2 linked regions of the Danio rerio genome follow. The protein of the gene in region 2 interacts with the protein of the main gene of each other region in a pairwise test. Links are inferred from orthologs where the notes say so. Each region holds a gene or a part of one and is shown on either strand. Other genes may lie near its edges.

Evidence for each region.
Region 1: the proteins of lhx4 (region 2) and chchd2 interact in binary tests that used the Homo sapiens proteins (3 or more experiments, as listed by UniProt). The two-hybrid records come from large-scale screens. The link is inferred for Danio rerio from reciprocal best matches to the Homo sapiens genes LHX4 and CHCHD2.

The regions. Positions count from the first base shown.
Region 1 is NC_133190.1:6,040,752-6,045,348, forward strand, and holds the start of chchd2 (coiled-coil-helix-coiled-coil-helix domain-containing protein 2), read right to left. Parts: upstream 3,092-4,597; 5' UTR 2,997-3,091; coding exon 2,950-2,996; intron 119-2,949; coding exon 1-118. UniProt on the Homo sapiens protein: Transcription factor. Binds to the oxygen responsive element of COX4I2 and activates its transcription under hypoxia conditions (4% oxygen), as well as normoxia conditions (20% oxygen).
Region 2 is NC_133183.1:16,230,331-16,234,162, forward strand, and holds part of lhx4 (LIM/homeobox protein Lhx4), read right to left. Parts: intron 534-3,832; coding exon 331-533; intron 1-330. UniProt on the Homo sapiens protein: May play a critical role in the development of respiratory control mechanisms and in the normal growth and maturation of the lung. Binds preferentially to methylated DNA.

The sequences.
Region 1 (4,597 bases), on a different chromosome or scaffold from region 2:
CGGCTGACGGGGAGCAGCAGCAGCAGGAGGAGCCACCGCTGAAGGTGGAGGAGGAGCCGGAGCGGGTGCGTAAGACCGCGGAGGAGCTGCTCGAGCCATCGGTGCTGGTGAGGAGTAACTAAAAAGAAAACTGCACAATCAATTACCTGTCCTTTGACAATGACTTGGAGTAGGGTTGCACGATACTGGGGAAATGTGCCATATTGCTGTTGAGCATTGTGACAGCGATATTTCTTGTGATATAAAAACCTTCCTAGAGAAATGCTATTTTATTAACCCTTTTTTAATATAAATTTATGTAATGATATACACTCACTGGCCACTATATTAGGTACACCTGTCCAACTGCTTGTTATGCAAATTTCCAATCAGCCAATCACATGGCAGCAACTCAATGCATTTAGACATGTAGACACGGTCATGACGATCTGCTTCAGATCAAACCGAGTTTGTTGTTGTTGGTCCCAGATGGGCTGGTGTATTTCAGAAACTGCTGATCTACTAGGATTTTCACGCACAACTATCTCTAGGGTTTACAGAGAAAATATCTAGCGAGTAAAATCATATATTTTATTTGGGTCACATCCATAATGCATGTTGTTCTGAAAAATATAAACAGGTGTTTCAATATAATGTTAGCGTATACTCTCTATGCGAATTTAAGTTTTAAGTTTTTACTGCAAGTGTGACATCCATAACGCTGGAAAACAAATAACCGAAATATTGGCATTAATACAAATTTTCGAATTTAAACTTGCAGTTCTTAGAAAAGCTGAAGTTGTTAACCTGTGCTCAGATTCATTTTATATATATATATATATATATATATATATATATATATATATATATATATATATATATATATATATATAAAACTAATAAATGGAGATGTTGATTGGGTTCACTAAGATTTTAATATTGAGACTGATATTAGGCTGGAGCCACTTAAAAGCTTATTGAAAAATTATCACTATAATAGTATATGCGATATACACCTTTCACTCATTTGTAGCATTTTAAAGACTAAATGTTGATATATCGACACCTCTTATTTAGGCTTGATTATAATTAATTAATCTGAAAAATAAACTTATCTGTTTATTTGGAATGACTTTAAAACATGACTAATAAAATTATTATTTTTCTAGAGAAATTTTACATCATAAAAAAAATCGTTATCGCAATACTCAACAAGAATATCGCATACTTAACCAGTATTTTGCAGCCTTAGTTACAGAAATACAAATTTCCACATATCAGTAAACCATTTAACAGATTATTTTGTTTTTCTTGTTTAATGTTACAAAATCAAATAATACTTCAAAGTAGAGATCACTTTCTACACCTATTTGTTTTTCTGATTTAATGCTGTGAGCAATTCCATGCAAATGTCAACCTCGCCATGAAAAAAAATGTCATTTTCACCAAAATACGAAAAAGTTTTTTGTGTTTTAAAGCACTTTAGAAATACTCAGAAATATCCTTGTCAATGTTTTCAAACTATTATATTTGATTTAACAAAGTCACACAAGTGGCAATTTCACATCTGTCACAGCAACTCCATGCAAGTGTCACATCCATAACGCTGGAATAGCTTAACGGTGTAAAGAGGAAAAAAAATAACATAGATATTGGCAATAACACAAATTTTCAAATTTAAACTTGCAGTTCTAAACAACTAAAGTAGTTAACCTGTGCTCAGATTCATTTTATTTTTATATTAAAAAAACGAATAAATGGAGATGTTGATTAGGTTCATTAAGATTTTAATATTGAGATTGATATTAGCCTGGAGTCACTTAAAGCTTACTGCAAACTTAGTTAGAGAAATACAAATTTTCACATATCAGTAAACAATTTAACAGATATTTTGTTCCTGTTAACTTCCTCAGTTTTAAGGTTAAATAATCAAATAATACTTCAAAGTAGACATCATTTTCTACACCTATTTGTTTTTCTAATTAATCGCTGTGAGCAATTTCATGCAAATGTCAACCTCGCCATGAAAAAAATGACGTTTTCACCGAAATACGAAAAACCATTTCTAAGTTTGTGAGCAAGTATTTTACAGTACTTTACAAATTCTCAGAAATGTCTCTGTCAATGTTTTCAAACTATTATATTTGATTTACCAGTCACACAAGTGGCATTTTCACATCTGTCACATCCATAACGGAGAGATGTCACATCCATAACGATACTTTTTCCTCAAAAATGCAAAAATATAAAATACAATAATACCAAACATGTTTGTTTTATAGTGAGTCAACTCTAATCCTTTTTAATTAGCATTATTTCTTTTAGATTGTGCAATTTAATTCACAGAATTTATACAAAATATGTTGAAGACTATAAATTCATATACTTTTCTGGTCACATCCATAACACATCTTTATTTTCCTCATTTAAAATATAAAACATGTTTACAAATGTATATTTTTCAGCTCCCTTAACTCTGTGGTGAGTTGATTTGGATAATACAAACAGAAGTTTCAATATAATATTAACATACACTTTCTATGCGAATTTATGTTTTGAGTTTATACGTTACTGCAAATGTCACATCCATAACGCTGGAAATGCTCATATTCAAAACACAAAATTACACTGGAGAATGTTTTTATTTCATACGAAATGCTATATAAGACTTTTCAAGCAGTGAATATGTCTAATGTTATCACAATATGAAATATTTAAAATATTAAAAATACTCAAAAGTTGATGTAGATTCATCTTCAATACTCAACACGCACTTCTCCAATCACCACCACTATTCTTTATAATAATAACTAACACAACCAAAGGGGACTCAGACTTCAGAAACAATATATTGTCACTATAATGAGCCTAATGTTTATAAATGTTTGTTGAGTAAATGACACACGATTATTATAAATGATAACATGATAATACAGCACGTAGCTCATGATGCTCCTCTCTTTTACCCACCTTGGAGGACTCATCCTCGAAGTTCTGCTTCGGCTTCCTCTCGGCATGTTGATTTTTTTATATTTTAATAGTATTATTATAAGAAGAGTACTGTATTCTACAGTAACTTACTCGCTTTTTACGCTACTGACCTTCGCACTGCACTTACTATCCGGGGAACTCTTTCTAGCATCTTACATCATGCCGGCGAACTTCCGCTCATGCGCATGAGCCTTTTTTTTTCAATTACCGCCGTCTGCTGCGCAGGAGTGTGGAATTGCTCGAGTCGTCTAGTACTTTCCATTGAGTAAACAGGGGAGTTCAGAATTATACAAGTGAATTAACAACAAAAATTAATCATGTACATTAAGTATTTTTTCCAGCAGTTGGGATGTCTTAATAGCTTTAGTATAATGGCATTACAGAAGCAGGGAATCATACACATTTTTTAGATCGATGAAAAATAGTTCACAGTTTGGTACAGTCAGCATACATTTTGTTTTGTGAATGGGTTACTTTTCAAATAAAATACGTTTTTTTGTTATTTTTTCGATTTCCAAAAATCTAGAGTTGCAAGTTTTACCCTACTGAAAAAAACAGCTTAAACCAGCCTAGGCTGGTTTTAGCTGGTCGACCTGGCTGGTTTTAGAGGGGGTTTGGCCATTTCCATGCCGGTTTCCAGCCATTTCCAGCCTGGTCTTAGCTGGTCAGGCTGGTAGATGACCAGCTAAATCCAGCTTGACCAGCCTAGCCAGGCTGGGAGCCCAGCCAAAACCAGCTATAAGCCAGGCTGGTCATTTTCCAGCCTGACCAGCAAAGATCAGGCTGGGAATGACTGTAAACCAGCCTGGAAATGGCCAAAACCTCTCTAAAACCAGGCTGGTCAACCAGCTAACCAACCTAGGCTGGTTTAAGCTGGATTTTTCAGCAGGGTGTTGATAATTTTATTACACACTTCAAAAAGGAAACTTGGTTTGAAAACAATGGCAACTAAAAGGAATTGCTAAAGTGAAGGATCTGCATGAGGAGGGTATATACATGTCATACTCTGATTTAGTTCAATTCAATTCAATTCATCTTTATTTGTATAGCGCTTTTACAATGTAGATTGTGTCAAAGCAGCTTCACATAAATGGTCATAGTAACTGGAACAGTGTAGTTCAGGTTTTAGTGTTTAAGTTCAGTTCAGTTCAGTTTAGCTCAGTTCAGTGTGATTTAATAATTACAGAGAGTTCAAACACTGAAGAGCCAATTCATCGATGCGTAGCTCTACCAATCCTGAACCATGCGAGGCAGTGGCGACAGCGGAGAGGGAAAAAAAACTTCACCTGATGGGAGTGAAGAAAAAAAACCTTGAGAGAACCAGACTTAGTTGGGCACGACCATTTTAATTTCTCCGCTGGCCAAAAGTCTTGTGCAGAGCTTCATTCGCCGTGGTTGAGGCTGGAAGATGGCCTCAGCGAAGAGTTAGACACTGCATCAAGGACAAACTTAACGTGAACGACAACCCTGTATATGCTTATTTACAGTCACCACAGGATACTAGGACTGCTTCTACGTGTTACAAAATGATGCTCAATGAAAACTTAGAAGTATTAATTTGAGAATAATCTGAGGATCTAGGGATTGATATTGAGGAGAATGAGTGGCTGGACATCCTTTCCAATGT
Region 2 (3,832 bases):
TTGTGTTAACTAATGTAGTAAACTATAACGTTAACAAACCAAACCATTCTTGTGAAATGTCAACCAATTGAATCAAAAGAATTCAGCATAATTACTTACACTGTCAAAAAGTTTATAACTTTAATTTCTATCTATTTCTATATCTTTTTGGTAAGAAAAAAGGTACATTTACTACAGTATATTTCTGAAATCCTAATAGACATATGCTCTTTTTTATATGAATACTTCCTCAAATTATAACACAATCACGCTGATTATTAGAAGTTAGATAGCTTAGAATGCACAGCTGAAGAAGGCCTGATTTCCCCTGATCTGGAATCAGCAGCTCACCGTTCTGCTTGGCTGTTTCGTAGTCCTCTTTGCACACGAGTCTGCCGTCCTCCATGAGGTAGAACTCATCTCCAGTGGCCAACTGTCTGCTGCACATCACACATGCAAAACAGTGAAGATGGTACACAAAGTCCTGAGCTTTCCGGACCACCTGTGTAGGAGGAATCCCCTGCTGGCACGATGCACACTTTGTCCCGAAACGCCTGCAGACACACACATAAACAGAAAAACGCATCACTAAGATAAACTTACAATGGCAGCTTGTGCTCTGCAGCGTTTATTCATCTGTATTAAAGCCAGTAATACAAAGCTGATTATAGTTTGTTAATGTAAAGTGCATTAAGTTGCTAACGGTAACAGTTCACATTCATTTATTTATTTTCCTTCTGCTTAGTCCCCTTATTCAACAGGGATCGCCACAGCGGAATGAACCACCAACTTATCCAGCATATGTTTTACACAGCCGATGCCCTTCCAGCTGCAAGTTAACATGTTTGAACATATTCAAACTAACAGACTAACTGAAAGCAAGGCACATTTTGCAATGTTATTCTGTAATTTTCTCCCATTTGTCTTTTTTTATAACCTGGGAAATTTGGTTTCTTATTCTTTATGTTTGATTCTAGAAAATACAAACTTAAAAAAACTAATTAAATGTTGCAATTATTCTGAACTAATATTATTAATTCCTGTTGAATAATTGTTAATTGCTATTTCATACAAACAAATGTAGTTAACTATAAAGCTTATTGTAAAGTATCAACCCAGTTAATTGTAAGGATTAGGTGTCACCAACAATATTGAATGCTGCAGGAGTGTTGTTCATTGTTAGCTTGTGTTAACTACTGTAATTAACTATACCTTTAAGAAACAAAAAAATCTTGTGAAATGTCGGTCCCACTTTATTTAAGTGGCCTGAACTAATATGTACTTACACTGAAATTAATAAATCGATACAATGCATTTATTGTCTAAAGACAAGTTTTTACATTGTATGAATGATTGATTAAATGCACACATGTAACTACATCTGTAATTAATTTATGTAATTACACTGTTAATCAGTAATTACATCTTAAACCTACCTATACCACCAAACCTGTCTCTAACCTTACCCATATCCCACCTCAAGAGCACCAGTGTTCTCCAATATAAACACATTAATGTATGTATACATGTATAGATTGGGTACATACAGTAGTAGTTAAGGACACCTAATATAAAGTGGGACCAAAATGTCAACCAATTTAACTCAAATTTAAAGCAATTAGTCATGACAAGAAGTTTTATGGTAATTAACTTATCCAAGACAAAAAAAAGGCTTTTGCTGCTTATTAAAACACACTCTAAAAATAACTCTAAATGTCTGTTATTACTACATAGTAAAATACATGTTTGTAAGTTAAAAATTCTAAATTGCTGATTAGATTAAAACTTTTAAGTTGTCAGAATAATTTCATTACGTTTTCACAACGGGGAAATATTGATAATTACATCAACTGAAAATGCAGTTAATTTAAAGGTAAATATGTCTGTCAATTAGTTTGAAACTATATTTAAATTGTAGCAACCCAAAGAAATTGGGTGGATAACACTATTTTTCTACACAAATAGACTTCTGGATTTCAAAGCTCAAGTTTTAGGCAGACTGTTTGGCACAAAATACAATTTAAAGACAGATATCTGAGATTTATTTAATTATTAGATCAATTTTCTCACTGGAGTGTTGGCTACTCCTGGTAAATACAGTTGATGTTAGCAGTGCTTTACAATAATGCACAGTAATTTGAGGAGGACCTTGAAGGGCAAGTGAAGACAATTGGTGATTGTTCTACTTTGGAATTTAACTACAAGACGGAAACCATCATGGTTGGGGACATCAGAATGCTAAATGGAATGGATATGTCAAGGTGCTGTGCTCTGCTGATGGGCATATATATGTTGTGAATGTAAGCTACCTCTAGAAACTTCAATAATGTCTCAAGAACAATATTTTTCAGAGTAGATTTTGCTCTTTATTTTGCATTTTATGTTGTTTCGTATTTTTGAGTCCGCACACTGATGTTTTTTTGTTATTTTTCATAATGTTTATATGGACAGTGCACATTTGTTTTTGTAAAATACTGAAAAACTGTGGTATAAAATAAAAAAAATAAAAATACTGGAAAACAAAAATGTTGTTGTTGAATTTATTTCTTACATGCAACTAAATGAACAGCAAGTTTCAAAACATACAATAATTAAACAATTTCAGCTGCTTAATTTATTTGAGGTTCTAAACTTAAAAAACTTGTATGTATAACTATGGTAATTAAGTGAATTACACTTGATTTATTCTAAATTTAAATAAAAAATAGGTTGAGTAATGTTTCAAATGGAGTTTATTCTAAAAATAACCTGTTAAGTCAGTTTAACTTAAAATGTCTCATAATAATGTTAATTTGATTCAACAAAAAAAAATTACAATTTAAGATAATAATATAATTAAATGTTGTAAAAGTACTTTTCATTATTAGTTCAAAATAACTACTGTAGTTTTCTAATGATAACAAATGAATAAGAAATCAATTAAATTTAGATTTGTATCATTAACTAATTATTAAATGCTTTACAAATAATGTTCATAGATTGCAGTAACTGACTAACATATACTGTAAAAAAATACTGGTTGCCTTAATTTTTTATGTTGAATCAAATTAACCTTATGAGTCATTTGAACTTACATTACATCAAATTGGCTTAAAACAGCTTGCATAACCTAATAATAATAATAATAGTAATAATAATACTAAGTTAAAACATGATTAACTTAGCTTAAGTAAGTTAAAATGAACTAAACACATATATTATATATGATCATATATTTTTTTACAGTGCATGAAACCATATTGTAGTGTTACCAAAATTAATTTTGTGGTTTAAGCATTGTTATTATTAAATGTTGCAGCAATATTGCTAATTGTAAGCACACAATATTGTAACTAATTTAGCATTATGTTAATCAGTGAAAACTCTTTATTAAAGATTATGCACCATTTACTAAGATTAATAAATGCTATATAGCAATATAGATCACTGTTGGTTTAAATAGCTCATGTAGTAAACCAATGTTAAATGAACACAATTCCTTTTAGGGATTAAGCATTATTATCTACTTTAATTGTTATAAAAGTAGGGTTTACTGTTTGTTCATGCTAACTAACTCACTGTTTACCTAATCTTAACCCTGTGCCTTGTTGGCCTGACCATCATTCCGGGTTCTGTTGCAAATGTGACTATTTTATAAGCAATCAAACCAGTAATAAGTTAGCAAATCTGTGAATACTACGGCAGGCATCTTTGTTTGTGCTTGTCATGTGCCTGCAGTTGACAAACGGTCATGATCAATGTAGCAGAACCAGAGAGAGAGAGAGAGAGAGAGAGAGAGAGAGAGAGAGAGAGAGGAGAGAGAGAGAGAGAGAGAGAGAGAGAGAGAGAGAGAGAGAGAGAGAGAGAGAGACCA